2 linked regions of the Arabidopsis thaliana genome follow. Each later gene encodes a partner of the first gene's protein in a complex. Each region holds a gene or a part of one and is shown on either strand. Other genes may lie near its edges. A codon is read from its position in the direction of its gene.

What was found.
Region 2: the proteins of ERL2 (region 1) and CLL2 are in contact, whole or in part, in a crystal structure (PDB 5XKN), measured with the Arabidopsis thaliana proteins. Residues at the interface, in NP_196335.2 of Arabidopsis thaliana: Lys153 (codon at 4,040), Arg178 (codon at 4,211), Arg201 (codon at 4,357), Trp220 (codon at 4,414), Tyr221 (codon at 4,417), Arg225 (codon at 4,517), Glu244 (codon at 4,574), Ile245 (codon at 4,577), Tyr259 (codon at 4,694), Gly262 (codon at 4,703), Phe263 (codon at 4,706), Leu264 (codon at 4,709), Gln265 (codon at 4,712), Ala267 (codon at 4,718), Thr268 (codon at 4,721), Ser270 (codon at 4,813), Gln272 (codon at 4,819), Leu286 (codon at 4,861), Met287 (codon at 4,864), Gln288 (codon at 4,867), Ala289 (codon at 4,870), Ala291 (codon at 4,876), Val292 (codon at 4,879), Asp294 (codon at 4,976), Phe313 (codon at 5,033), Lys316 (codon at 5,042), Tyr318 (codon at 5,133); in NP_001031641.1 of Arabidopsis thaliana: Pro59 (codon at 3,280), Gly60 (codon at 3,283), Ser61 (codon at 3,286), Ser62 (codon at 3,289), Pro63 (codon at 3,292), His80 (codon at 3,343), Ile83 (codon at 3,352), Pro85 (codon at 3,358), Glu92 (codon at 3,379), Tyr93 (codon at 3,382), Tyr94 (codon at 3,385), Pro95 (codon at 3,388), Glu96 (codon at 3,391), Ala97 (codon at 3,394), Trp98 (codon at 3,397), Arg99 (codon at 3,400).

The regions. Positions count from the first base shown.
Region 1 is NC_003076.8:2,226,306-2,236,053, reverse strand, and holds ERL2 (ERECTA-like 2), read left to right. Parts: upstream 1-2,466; 5' UTR 2,467-2,821; coding exon 2,822-2,915; intron 2,916-3,325; coding exon 3,326-3,464; intron 3,465-3,526; exon of another isoform or gene 3,527-3,559; coding exon 3,560-3,631; intron 3,632-3,719; coding exon 3,720-3,791; intron 3,792-3,877; coding exon 3,878-3,949; intron 3,950-4,032; coding exon 4,033-4,104; intron 4,105-4,200; coding exon 4,201-4,272; intron 4,273-4,349; coding exon 4,350-4,421; intron 4,422-4,509; coding exon 4,510-4,581; intron 4,582-4,656; coding exon 4,657-4,725; intron 4,726-4,811; coding exon 4,812-4,883; intron 4,884-4,974; coding exon 4,975-5,046; intron 5,047-5,131; coding exon 5,132-5,203; intron 5,204-5,278; coding exon 5,279-5,350; intron 5,351-5,425; coding exon 5,426-5,497; intron 5,498-5,593; coding exon 5,594-5,665; intron 5,666-5,752; coding exon 5,753-5,824; intron 5,825-5,916; coding exon 5,917-5,988; intron 5,989-6,073; coding exon 6,074-6,145; and 18 more. UniProt on the Arabidopsis thaliana protein: Receptor kinase that regulates inflorescence architecture and organ shape as well as stomatal patterning, including density and clustering, together with ERL1 and ER.
Region 2 is NC_003075.7:8,437,259-8,442,764, forward strand, and holds CLL2 (EPIDERMAL PATTERNING FACTOR-like protein), read left to right. Parts: upstream 1-2,640; 5' UTR 2,641-2,908; coding exon 2,909-3,005; intron 3,006-3,202; coding exon 3,203-3,435; 3' UTR 3,436-3,643; downstream 3,644-5,506. UniProt on the Arabidopsis thaliana protein: Acts primarily as positive regulator of inflorescence growth. Endodermal expression is sufficient for proper inflorescence architecture. Redundantly involved with EPFL6 in procambial development regulation. Controls stomatal patterning.

The sequences.
Region 1 (9,748 bases):
TGTCCCAGCTTTTACTACATGTTTTGGGCCTGTTTGATCACGCCACGTGGATCCGGTAAAATCCACGCTTGTCTTCTCTGATTGGCTCTTCACTATAGGCTTTTTTTTTTTTTTTTGTAAATTCACTATAGGCTTAAGCTAGTCTGCTCCATAGCTATAGGTCCCTATAAATATACGTAAGTCTTCTTATATAAAAGCAATGTAATTGAATGCTCGCATAACTAAGTGAATTAGTTGTAAAATAAACGAATGTTACGTATGTGGGCATATGATCAAATCTCATTTATTTTCTTATCAGTAAATACAAAGCTTGAAACGTGGTGAACAATGAAGATTGTCATTACGTATGAGAAATTTATAGTTTGTATTGACTAATTTCATTAACTATTTCAAATTTTCACTCAAGTTTGATCATATATACATACTAACTAGTCCACACAAATCTAACTCATGTTCACTAACTTTTGACCCTTAAAATAAAAAACTCATGTTCACTAACTGTCCGATATTAACAACAGTAACCACAAAACTGATCATATATATATACTAGACCACAACAGCTAACGCAGCACCTCGTTTATTGTTTCGACGCAATAACAATAAAAACATTTAAGAGGAAACATAGTAAAAAATAATTGAATTGGTCTAGTTTAGACTACTGTAGAATGCGTACAGATTGGTCTTCTTACATATTAGAGCCATGCACCGTTCGAGTCTAAAAGCCTAGAGTTGCTTATACAGCTGAACCTCCACAAGACTTATATAAATCTTGTGGATATACGAGCCCCCGTCTCCTTTTACGTTTTTGTGGATTTACATAAATCTTTATGGTCACCGAGTCTACTGATATAATTTTACTGTCGCAGTTTGTTTCCACTACTTAAGTTTCTATAATTTCACAGTTTGAAAGAAAAATTACTGGTTATTCAGCTAAATTACAAAGATTAGTTTAATTAGTTTAGCCAGTATAATGTTTTAGTAAAGTATTAAACGGCATTTTTCGTTGGGAGAATTATGTTATGGTATAATCTACTAATACATACTTTTACACATATATCAAAAAGTTTGACCATAGTAGGTAGTACAACATAGAAGAATCAAGATCGGAACCAGCAAGGAAGAAGATACGGTCGGTCCATATTAAGCTAAGAGGACCAACGTAACTCGATATATATTTTTCTGTTCTCTACGTTACCACCATATAAATTTTAATATTGAAAAAATCATCTTTTGGCATTGTGTTTGATGTCGGATTCGGAATATGGAAAGAGGAGAGATATGAGATTTTGGCACAAAGGAAGCTGCCAAAGCATTAGGGCAACCGAGTAGTAACGAGATCAAACATCGTTTCAATCGGACGGTCGGGGTTTGACCAATATTTCTCGGATATCTTTTGGACCCTACGTTCTGACTTGAACTTGATCAGTCACTTCAGTACCTTAGTTTTCATTTTCAATGTGATCATGAGTTTTTTTTTACATGTTAGCTTCAAAACAAATACTAATATTCATTAACTATGGATCGGCATAGTTTTCATGTAATCAGCTGAGCGTTTATCATATTGATTGAAGCTAACATGTAAAATTCTCATGATCACATTGACTTTTGCCTACAAATTTTAAAAGAGTATACAAATAATTGCTTAATGAAGATAGCTTCCATAGAGAAAGAGTAACAGCTTTATACGGAGGCATAGCTTTAGACACGATCTCTGCTCTTGTGTTTTTTGTTTAACACTGAATCCACAGTGAAATTACTGCTCATTTTTTTTCATTTTTTATTACATTTTTTTTTTTACTTTTTTATTTATTACAATCTACAGTTCTACCAACTTATTCAACCTAGTGGTACCATATCGACCCCAAAATTAATCAATCTAATTACAAGGTAGAAATAGAAAGATTTTATCAAAGGAGACAACTCTGATCGATAATATGTTGCAATAAAACCATGAAAAACTGTAAAAAATATTGAAAGCTGAAGAAAAATTTTCAAATCGATAAAAGGATAGTACTAAACCAATCCGGTTTGTGGCATCTTTTTCACCCAATCACTATCAAAGCATTAACTAAAAATCACAAGGAAGAGCATAATTTGATTCTCTACATCGCAGTCCACGATAGGATTTCTCTATCCACCGTTGGATCAAATTTAATAATGATGCACGCGCGCGTCAACGGGATTTTACCCAGCAAAGGAATGTCTTTTCACCGGACTCTTAAAAGACGTTCTTCTTTTTTCACCTTTGCATTGGAAAACGGCGTTTCTTCTTAGAACCGTCGCCGTCAAATCATACGGCCTAATAAATCTCCGTTTAACGCCGTTACTTTACCGTTAAGTACTAAAAAAACAAAAAAAAATCATTTCGATCACTGTCTCATTAAGATGATCGGAGATGTTTTAGCAGGGTTTAACAAGTGATGATAGTAATGTATGTATATATGTTACTGACATTATTTTGTCGTTGTCTAATAGGAGGGTACTAAAGTTTCTCTCTCTCATGGCGTCGGAGCTCAGCCTCTAGTAATGTAGACTGTCCTCTCTTTCTCTCTCTCTTCTTTAAACATCTCTGCTCTGTTTTCCTTCCAGTTCACGCTAATCTCCTGTGTCGGTCCCCTCTCTCTTTTCCTTTGGTCTCTCCCAACAATGGCAGAACGACTTTGTACCCTTCTTTTGCTCTTTGTTTGAATTTCGTTTCTTGCTACAAAGCTTCAAAGGATCTGACTTTTCCCTAAACAGAAAAAGAGGTCTTTAACCAAAAAAGGTTGTTACTTGTTTTCTGGGTTTCGTGGTGTTACTCTTGAGGAAGAAGAAGAAGAAGATGAGAAGGATAGAGACCATGAAAGGCTTGTTTTTTTGTCTGGGGATGGTGGTTTTCATGCTACTTGGTTCTGTTTCTCCAATGAACAACGAAGGTTCTAGCTCTTTCAAAATCTCTTTTGTTTCTCTATTGTTCCATGAGCCAGAGAGATTTCTCTCTTTTTTTTCCAGAGAACTTGAATTTTTATAAATTTGTAACCTTTCTTCCGATTTTGAAGATATCATATCTGTTTATCTGTCTATCTAAACAGTGACTGTTCCTGAGAGAGCAAAAGTCATTTGATTCGTTCTTAAAAAAAACTTACTTTAGTGTTTTTGGAAATATGATAATAATTTGTGACCTAGCTCACTTCACAGTTGAGTTTATTATACTAATGATCTAGTGGGGTTTTAGTTTTTGGCATGTGGTTCATATTTTACCATTTGACTATCATCAGTGTCAAATGATTAAATAAGCTTTTTTTGATTTGTTTATTGACTTCAAAAAGCTTTTGATTTTGCACAGGAAAAGCGTTGATGGCGATAAAGGCTTCATTCAGCAACGTGGCGAATATGCTTCTTGATTGGGACGATGTTCATAACCACGACTTTTGTTCTTGGAGAGGTGTCTTCTGTGATAACGTTAGCCTCAATGTTGTCTCTCTGTAAGGATTTTTTTTTTATCTCATTCCGTATTGTTGTGCTGTCTCTTTGATTTCAGACTTTTCTGATTTGCCTTTGTTTTTTTTTATGTTGGAAGTAATCTGTCAAACCTGAATCTTGGTGGAGAGATATCATCTGCCCTTGGAGATTTGATGAATCTGCAATCAATGTTCGTTTCTCTTCTCTCTTTTACTTGTATGTTTGAGAAGAAACATGGTGTTAAATCCTTATGAAGCTCTGGTCTTTCTTAATTACAGAGACTTGCAAGGAAATAAATTGGGTGGTCAAATTCCAGATGAGATTGGAAACTGTGTTTCTCTTGCTTATGTGTAAGTTTTGTTTGATGCTTGTAGTTTCATGTTAATGAGAACTTAATCTATCTCTATTATATAATCAAAAACCTTTCTTGTTTCAGGGATTTCTCCACCAATTTGTTGTTTGGAGACATACCGTTTTCAATCTCTAAACTCAAACAGCTGGAGTTTCTGTATGTCTTCTTATCTCTCTCATTCGTGTGTAATCTTTGCCTGATTTTGGCGTTTTTTTGTCAACTGTTTCATTCTAATGCAGGAACCTAAAGAATAATCAGCTCACTGGTCCAATACCAGCAACCTTAACTCAGATTCCAAACCTTAAGACCCTGTGAGTTTCAATCAGATAATATTCTATCTATGAAGCAGGTTATTTAATGCAAAGGGATCATTGCAATGATAATAGATTATTCTCATGATTTTGCAGTGACCTCGCAAGAAACCAGCTTACTGGTGAGATACCAAGGTTACTCTACTGGAATGAAGTTTTACAGTATCTGTAAGTAGTTCATCTACTTATCTTAAGTCTAGGCATCCAGAGATTTATGTTCTGATTGTGATGTATTCATTTTGCAGCGGTTTACGTGGGAATATGTTAACTGGGACATTGTCTCCTGATATGTGTCAGCTGACGGGTCTGTGGTACTTGTAAGTGAATCCGGTTCAGCTCTTTATTTTCTTTTACTCTCAACCTCAGATTTCGAGTAATTTATAAGTGAATGTTTGTTGTTGTTAGTGATGTGAGAGGCAACAACCTTACTGGAACTATCCCAGAGAGCATTGGCAATTGCACAAGCTTTGAGATCTTGTATGTGTCTTCTCCTTAAGGAATGAATATTCAGCACAGAACTCGAGTGATCTTATTCGTCATTTGCATTTTCAGGGATGTATCTTATAATCAGATTACCGGAGTTATACCCTACAATATTGGTTTCCTCCAAGTAGCTACTCTGTAAGTATTGTTAAGACCATCTTACACTTTTGTGTGGTTTGTTAAAGCATGTCAATATGGTTAAGTGGTGATGGGTTCTCTTGCAGGTCACTTCAAGGAAACAAGTTGACTGGCAGAATTCCGGAAGTGATTGGTCTGATGCAGGCTCTTGCTGTATTGTATGTCATTTTCATATTCAAATGCTTGCTTTTTTCCTACTCTCGTTTCTTGCTCTTCTGACTGAATGAAATAAACTTATCCAATGCGCAGGGATTTGAGTGACAATGAATTAACTGGGCCTATTCCACCAATACTTGGGAATCTGTCATTCACTGGAAAACTGTGAGTCCCTTTTTTTTTCTTCCCTCTGTGTCATGCATATGTTCAGATCTTCACATATATGGATAATGTCTTTTCTTGAAAATAGGTATCTCCATGGCAACAAGCTCACTGGACAAATCCCACCCGAGCTAGGCAATATGTCACGACTCAGCTATTTGTAAGATTGAGAACTTGAAACTCCAATATCTGTTCTTCTCAATACTTGATCTTATGAGGGTTTACTCTTTCGCAGGCAACTAAATGATAATGAACTAGTGGGAAAGATCCCACCTGAGCTTGGGAAGCTGGAACAATTGTTCGAACTGTGAGTTTTTATCCTTCAGTATACTTAAATTTTTATCTTAGGTGAAAAGCTGGTTGATGTAACTTTGCCATCTAGGAATCTTGCGAACAACAATCTTGTAGGGCTGATTCCATCTAACATTAGTTCCTGTGCTGCCTTGAATCAATTGTAAGATATGATATGAACCCTTTCCCATTTTATGCTTCTCTCTATTTTTCTTCTTCTTATCTTAATGAAAACTTATTGTGCTTTTATTGTGTTCAGCAATGTTCATGGGAACTTCTTGAGTGGAGCTGTACCACTTGAATTCCGGAATCTTGGAAGCTTGACTTATCTGTAAGCTTCAATGACTGCATGTACAGTATGATTATGTATTCGAACTATTAGTCTGTGTAAATCTTGATTCAATGCTGTAAATTGCAGAAATCTTTCCTCAAACAGTTTCAAGGGCAAAATACCTGCTGAGCTTGGCCATATCATCAATCTTGATACATTGTATGTTATTTTCTACTGATTTACATCCATGTTCCGCCTAGTTACCTACTGATATGTGTACCAACTACCAACTCATACAAACTTTGTTTCAGGGATCTGTCTGGCAACAATTTCTCAGGCTCAATTCCATTAACACTTGGTGATCTTGAGCATCTTCTCATCTTGTATGTCTTCATCAAGCCCTAAAGTTGCACTGCTTTGCATTAACTCTCTCAGATTTGTTGACTTGAGTTTTGTTTTAATTGTCAGAAACTTGAGCAGAAATCATCTGAATGGCACATTGCCTGCAGAATTCGGGAACCTCCGAAGCATTCAGATCATGTAAGGCTTGTCTTATGCTTAGATTTCTTCTGTTATGATAAAATCTTCCTACTTACAAACTTTTCTCCATCCTTCTCAGCGATGTGTCATTTAATTTTCTTGCCGGTGTTATTCCAACTGAACTTGGCCAGTTGCAGAACATAAACTCTCTGTAAGTAAACCATCACTTCTCCTCTGCAATTTACCGTATAATGCATATAAATAATTCTTCTTTGCTTCTTTAATGTACAGGATACTGAACAACAACAAGATTCATGGGAAAATCCCTGATCAGCTAACTAACTGCTTCAGTCTTGCCAATCTGTACGTGTTCCTTTGTTACAACAAGATGTGTACTCTCAGATAATCTTATGATCATTTCTGAATTCATATATTTTTCCTGCTCGTTCTTTATACATTGTAGGAACATCTCCTTCAATAATCTTTCTGGAATAATCCCACCTATGAAGAACTTTACACGTTTTTCCCCGGCCAGGTATCACCTTTGCCATATTGTTACCTGTCTTAGCTTTTCATATAATCAGTATACCAAATATACCTTTTCGTTTATAGCTTCTTTGGAAATCCATTTCTCTGCGGGAACTGGGTTGGATCAATCTGTGGCCCATCTTTACCTAAGTCACAAGGTATATGAATCTGCATTTATCCTATTGCATTGTTTTTAGCTGACATATCTCTCACTACATTTCTTGCTCTTGACCAACCAGTATTCACCAGAGTTGCCGTGATTTGTATGGTTCTCGGTTTCATCACTCTCATATGCATGATATTCATTGCGGTTTACAAGTCAAAGCAGCAGAAACCAGTCTTGAAAGGCTCTTCAAAACAACCTGAAGGTCTTGGTCTCATAGTTTATGATCTCTTCTCTTTCGTTCATTAAGATTCACAACAGCATTATGATATATCTTGTATGGATCCTTCAGGGTCAACGAAGCTGGTGATTCTTCACATGGACATGGCTATTCACACGTTTGATGATATCATGAGAGTTACAGAAAACCTCGATGAGAAATACATCATTGGATACGGTGCTTCTAGCACAGTTTACAAGTGCACCTCCAAAACTTCCCGACCTATTGCCATTAAGCGAATCTACAATCAGTATCCCAGCAACTTCCGCGAGTTTGAAACAGAGCTCGAGACCATTGGGAGCATCAGACACAGAAACATAGTAAGCTTGCACGGATACGCCTTATCTCCCTTTGGCAACCTCCTCTTCTACGACTACATGGAAAATGGCTCTCTTTGGGATCTTCTCCATGGTTTGCTATTCTTCTTCTCTTGGACCAGTTACGTTCTTTTCAGCCAGTTTTCTACTTTTGGAAGACTTAAACGTAGTGATTGTATGATGCAGGGCCTGGGAAGAAGGTGAAGCTTGACTGGGAAACAAGGCTGAAGATAGCTGTTGGAGCTGCGCAAGGACTTGCATATCTTCACCATGACTGCACACCTAGGATAATCCATCGAGACATCAAGTCATCAAACATACTCCTTGATGGGAATTTCGAAGCGCGTTTGTCAGATTTTGGGATTGCCAAGAGCATACCAGCCACCAAAACTTATGCTTCAACCTATGTTCTTGGAACCATTGGATATATTGACCCAGAGTATGCTCGAACTTCGCGTCTGAACGAGAAGTCTGATATCTACAGTTTCGGTATTGTCCTTCTTGAGCTTCTAACCGGCAAGAAGGCTGTGGATAACGAGGCCAACTTGCATCAAATGGTATGAATTTGAGTATAAAGTGTTTCACAAGTTTATTCTTGGAAACAATTTGATATCATTAACTTTTTTGTTGCAGATTCTATCAAAGGCGGATGATAACACAGTAATGGAAGCTGTTGATGCAGAGGTCTCAGTGACTTGCATGGACTCAGGACACATCAAGAAAACATTTCAGCTAGCTCTCTTGTGCACCAAGCGAAATCCTTTGGAGAGACCCACCATGCAGGAGGTCTCTAGGGTTCTGCTCTCACTTGTCCCGTCTCCACCTCCAAAGAAGTTACCGTCGCCTGCAAAAGTACAGGAAGGGGAAGAACGGCGTGAGAGCCACTCTTCAGATACAACAACCCCACAGTGGTTTGTTCAGTTCCGTGAAGATATCTCCAAAAGTAGCTTATAAGATAATAACTTTTAGGGTTCCCTTTTCTGTTGTGTTCTTGTATGTCAAGAAAGATCGGAGGGGCAGGTTTTTAAGTGATTTAGGGCTAGTATGAGGGGTATTTTGGGAAGGGAGATAAAATTGAAGGCATTAAAGATAAGAACATGGGATAGGTGAAAGAGTAGGTGAAGTTAATTGTTTTTCCAATGGACATCTTCACGAGTTCGTTAAAAGTCTTTCAATCTCCTCTTTAATGCAAACATCCATTAATGCATACTTCGTTCACACTATAAATATATTTTGTACATTATTCACATGACCAACGTTGTGTATATGTCAAACTTTTACAACTAATTAAGAACATATACGCATATGGCTTATCTCAAAATGTGAATCTCAAGCTGGTGAATCCTGCCACAGAAATTCAAGCTCCTTGTTAGAATGTAATTGATGGAGATGTGTTGTTCACTTGTTTGGTCCAAATACTAGAAGGAAATGATTAAAGCAATAGGTTTTTATACCTGTTAACATGGAGGATCGTTTTCCCATTGAAGCTCTCAATCTTTTTCATTGCAATGTCTAATTTGTACACGCACGAAATATGTCTTGAAAAATCTCTATGTGGATGAGATACAAGAGATTAAGAGAAGCAACTAATCTGTAAGTACCGCGACTGAATCATTATCTGAAGTGGTAACATTTCTGTGCCTCTCCCAAGGTTGATCCTTCTGTGTCTTTAATGATTAACACAGATGGCGACATACTGTTGTTTCCGCGAGATAATTTACATTAGGAACAAAACTAGTTGTGTCTTGATTCTACTTAGTCTAGTTGCAAGCAAAGACAATGTTAGGTTAAATGATGTTATGCTAGAGTTGGAAAACCACTCACGATATGTGCATGTCCTCCAATATGCCAAGCGTATTCAAAAGCTCAGAAGAAGAAACCAATGATTGATTAAGACGATAAAAAAGACTTGAGTGTACCTTAGCAATAACAAGATCTTCATAAGTCATTTTATCATCTTTCCTGCGTTGAGTGACCATATCAAACATCCTTTTCTCCTAAAGAACCACTCGGACCAAAATACTCCTGTGACAATCGAAATCCACCACACATCGTGTGATGCTTAAGAGAGATTTGAGATCATCGAGCTTCTTCTGAGTGAAAGCTCTGCAACAAAATTACAAACTCACAATTGAAGAAGTTTATTAGAGAGTGGAGGTGAGATTGGTTCCGATGAAAACCTGGAAGCAGAAGTGAAGTCATGATCAACAGAGGACGACGAAATCGAATTCCCATTTTCGCCGGGTTTTTCTGTTCTCCGGCAGGTTTCGTCGTCTCTGTTTACATGGTTTAGTCTTCGTCGGAAGGAGAAAAAATATTTCGGTTTACATGATTTTGAAAAGTTCAAATTATAATTGGTTTCGGTTCAGTGTACATGGTTTAAAATTACAAATTGATTTTGGTTCGGTTTACATAAAACAAAAAACATAAGAGTC
Region 2 (5,506 bases), on another chromosome or scaffold:
ATGAATATGAGAGGTTTTGGAATATAACATATAGGTGAACTACTAGCCAATTGTTAGTCGGATTACTGGTTTAATAAGATGATCAGAACAACTAAACTTGTAAACTTCCATCGATTACAACAATCTTGTGAGGCTAACTTGAAGTAGTTCACCATTTTGGTTGGTGAACACTATATATGTCAATTTATGTTCTCTAATATATATTTTCTTGTTTGGTTTTCTCAATATGTGTTGTCGAGTCGAAAGTGATTAATTGATCGAGCTCAAGATCTTGCTATTAAGGCGAAGTAAAGATTGCAATTCATATTGCTGTATCCTAACAAATGTGATGGTCTCTTATCGTTCTAACATCTCTCTTTCAGATTTATATAAAAATATATATATTGTCTACAAAACTCATTCATCCACATCCAAAATTTAAAATTTGGATTATTACACAAAAGTAGATAAACCACTAGACAAATAATATCTAGTCGAATTAATTAAATTACTCGTCTAAATTATTAGCTTTTTAGATATATATATCTAAACTAAGGACTAAAGCTAGTTAGTGTAAATTTGACTTTTTTTTGTTCTTTGAAACTATGTGTAATATCTATTTTTTTGTAAATGCAAAGATAATCGAGTAATGAACATGAAAACTACTATATTATAAGGAAAAAAATGGTATTTAAATAAAAAAATATGAATAGTGATTGAAGAACCGTACAGGTTATGTTTGTGCAGGGAGAGGGGTCGCGAGTGCGTGGGTCGGGTACAGAGGATGAGTCAGTGAGTCAGGACCTGTTTCCCCCTTTGTAGGGACACTTTTACCATCCTTTAATGGGCCTATTCTTTTCATAGGCCCATTTAAATCATATCAGTCAGTCTTTTTCTTGGGCCTCATCTTTGTTTTGTGGTTCTTGCGATTTGAACTATCTGATGGTGACTACAATTGGACGACCGCAGAACAACCCAACCGTATATGCTGTCTTTTGTGGGCAAATCTTTTTTATTGATATGGATTGTCTCAAAATAAGTGATAGAAGTCCGATATAAAGCATAAAACAATCTCTCATGATCAACCATTAAAAGAAATAAACTAGCAACAACCCATGTTCCTCTTACTGACATACATACACATATAGTCAAAGATTTATGCAATAATTTGGACTTTATTAAAAATATTTACAAACCATATAGACATATATATAGTCATTTTTGATATCTTGGTTTCAAAATCTTTCTAGATCTTTAGTTCCAATAAACTTTCAATTTAAAAGCGGTTTTCTAAAAATCCGAAGTTGGCCAAGTGATATATTAGTCCTGTCCAAACTGACACAACTCACGAATGTGGTACGGGTTGAAAAGCCTTAGGCCATGTTCGTGAGGTAAAGATACTCGCGGTCGATCAACTTTGGGGAACGAATTCGTTCTTGGAACTTTTGTTGATTGATTACGGGCGTCATACGTGACGCCCCTGTTCTTTTTTATTTTTAGGACGGTTTGGGGGTGTTACAAGAGTGGTACCAAAAGACGACGAATATATTGACTCATATCTTTTATATCTTAGCATAGTTTGCTTTTTCACTTTTAATGTGAGAATTCTAACATGCACATTTGAGATAATGAATCATTTTCACTCATCGTTTTGGATCGAACCTCGTTTTGTTTTTGGTTTGGTCATAACTTTTTAACTTGAAAACCACTTGAGAGTGAGTCGACTGATTTATATACTCCTTATATTTTACTTTATATCCCATATTTTTTTATGATGTAAGATTCTTAACATAGTCAAGTACTCATAATGATCTAGTAGTTGAATGATTTACGATGATTCGAATCATTCTACTTCGATTGAGGGTGTACACTAATTAGATCCTATTATATATGATATAAACTGATATATATAAGAATTATTATATAATGCAAAAAATGATCATAAGACGGACGGTGTATATTTATTTTGAATATAATACAAAATTATCATATGTCCAACTCCAGATTCGTGTGCATGTCTCTACGTATCTCCGGATACGATCATGCTATAAGAGTCAAGACCCCTACACGATATGACAAAACGAGTAGGAAAAACGTGACACCAAAAGATATTAAAAAGCTGAAACTAATATATAGAAATGAAAATGAGAGATACATATCAACATTATACAAGAAAGAAAATGAATAAAATAATTGTAATGTAGGACTGAAAACCTAAAAAGAAAAAGAAACATCAAAAGGTTGCCAAAATAAAAAAGTAACATGAAAATAAAACCTGACCAGAAATTTCCATAAAGCCCAACCTATTTATTTTGCCTACACTCTGAGCCCCACTCATTAGTTGCTCAACTATTTTAATTCCTTGTCATAATTGTTATTTAAGAACCTTTATAACTTTCACTTTCAGGGTATATAATCTCTATGGATTTAAATGGAGAAAACCCCAGTGACCATAGTTTGATTTAAGGAAGGGAAAGTTATAGGAATGGATTATGAAATATTATAAATTTTGCATATTAATGCAAAATATCTATCTTTATAAAACATACTTTTAAAAATATATAATGTTAAGAAACAAAAGGAGGTTAATATTAAGTGAAGACTCTCACTAAAGTATACAAATGAAGAGATATAAAAAGCAGGATAAAAATAGAGTCAAAAAGAAAGAAAACAAAAACAAGACATAGCAATTTGAATTTAATATTTGGATTCCAAATCCAAGCTCATGGGTCTATTCTACTGTTCACAGTCACACACACACTCTCTATCTAAGCTTCTTTTGACTTAAGACCAAAATGAATAACCCCAAACCTCAAACACTCAAACATAAACCCAAAAAATCTCTCTCACAGAGAAAAATAAAACACACAATTTTAACCACAACACTTGTCTCTCTGCTAACATACGCATCCTCTCCGGTTCTTGACTAATGGGCACCTTCCGTCGCCGCCGTCGCTTTCTTTTAGCTGCACTCGTCACATTTGCTCTCCTCCACCTCTTCTCCGCCTCCTCCATAGTCTCCGCCGGTAAGAAACCAATAACAATGTGATTTTTTTTTTCTTGCAACTCAAACCCGAAAATTTCTTGATTTTCTTGATTTCATAATAAAATTTTTGGTTTGAGTAATTAAAAACGCAATATTTTTTGTAGTCCAATGGTTAAATGTACTTGATGTGTAAATGGTGAGCGAGTTAACTCAGTAGTGGTTAAATTCATTTACCAGATGGTAGATGGATTGGTCAGAGAACCGGGTCGGATTTACCGGGTGGGTTCATAAGGAGTAATAAGCGGTTTGGTGGTCCGGGTTCATCACCACCGACGTGTAGATCGAAGTGTGGGAAATGTCAGCCGTGTAAACCGGTTCACGTACCAATTCAACCCGGTTTAAGTATGCCATTGGAGTATTACCCTGAAGCTTGGCGGTGCAAGTGTGGCAACAAGCTCTTCATGCCCTAAAGTTTGATCAATTATTAAACAATTCAGAAGAAGAAAAAAAATGTTTTAATTCTTTTTGTTTTGTTTTTTGTTCCTCATTTCTTGTGCTTCTCTGATTAATTATTGTAATGAAAACTATATGTTAATATTAAAAAATTGGTCATGTGAAGAAATTGAGGACTTTGGGAAAAGGCAAATTTTTGAGGGGTGATAGTACCGAGAAAGAAAGAGAGCATTCATCATTTTTACCCTAATGACACTTGCTTCATTGTAGAACCAATTGATATTGCAGATGTCTAATTCAGGTAGTGAATTTCTATCTTTTCTTTGTTATAACTTGTAAGAAAATAAATATGTCATACACAAAACAAATCGTTTTTAATCAGTAACATGAAATGACAAATGTTTTAGACAGGTATAAATAGTAAAATATCTTACTAATGGTAAAATCATTTTACTACATAGAATTTCTGAAAATAAGTTAAAACGTTAAAAATAGGTTTCACTAAATAGAATTTCTGCAAATTAGATAAGTTATAACTAAAAAAGAACTATAATTAGAAAACGTTAAAAAGAACTCTACAGGATTAGTGATGTAATTTGTTATGTTTTAACACATCAATAATATATATATACTAGTAGAAGTAATTTTTTAAAACGTGGAATGTAATGAATATTTTGAATGGTAAACTACCACAACTACGTTTTTAAAATGTGAAAATGTATAGAAATAGTTACTTTATATAAATATAAGATGTTTTGGTTAAAAGCACAAAGTTTAATAAACTTATATTTTTATATTAAAAACATAGTTAAATATCTAATCAAAGAGAGTTTGGCAAATGATAAAAATTTCTGCATAATATAAATAATCACAAAATTTCCTGTTGAAATGTCTTTTGGATTTTTGTAAATTAAACAATCTTATGGTGAATTATTTGACAAAATCCGCCAAAAACAATTGTGAGTGATGGATATTTGTTTTGTTTCCATTTGGTGTTATCAGTAAAATCAGTGATTTGCCCCTTATTTTCAAACAAATCCCACTTAACAAAACAAATCCTAAGTACTTTGTTTGTCTGGTTATGCATGTTTGTTTGGACCCATAGGTTTTTGTCCCTCGACAGCTATGAAGATTTCATTATTGCTCTTTGATGATAATTTATTAATTTTTGTAAGGTATCAATATAAATCATGATTAATATTTATATCGTACTTGCACGTGTAAGTATGCAGCAGGACCATATTATAAAAAAATGAAACAAATAATAATATTATTATAGAAAACGAATGTAAAAAGTAGTAAAAGCATTTATGGTTTGGAGTTTTTCCCATTTTCACTACAAAGCCGCATATGTACTCGTGTCGTACTGCATACTCTGTTCCTTACATATAAGTTTGCAATATCTGAATTAACTTCTCTCGTTTCTTTTATTTTTCTCCTTATGAGATGTACCAAGTTATTCTACTTTTGATTTTAGTATTTGGAAAAGTATCTACTTGTCTCATATTTATAGCTTGATTTTACAATTTTAGCTTTTTAAAATAGAGAGGAAATAAAGAACCATTGACCTATAAAAGATACACAAATAATTTCTTTGTAGATGCCTAAAAAGCGTACTAGTTACAACAATAATTGTATAAGTTGGAGAATGATGGTTTACTCTAGACTTATAGAGATGTTATGATCATCATTAGAAGCTGACTTACGTTACGTATAGAAAGATTATGAAACGTATTAATTTCAGGGTCGAACGGGACAAGACTTTGGTCCTATATTCGGAGTTCGGACAAGTCATGGTTATAAATTTGTGTAGATGACATAAATGGTGGAGAATTATTTTGATTATGAGCTTTGAAAATTTGGAAACACGTAACCATTTACTAACTTCTAACCACTGTCCTATCGGTCGTGTAGGGCCATTGTACTCGACCCAAACGTTGACTAATAATAACAACTGCATGGTGTTTATATCATAACGAACATATTTGTAAGATTTTAGTATTTTACAACTTTCACTCCTTTTTTTGTGTTTTCGATTTTTTATATACTCTTAATTTAATATGATGGTACGTAAGGTACGTTCTACAT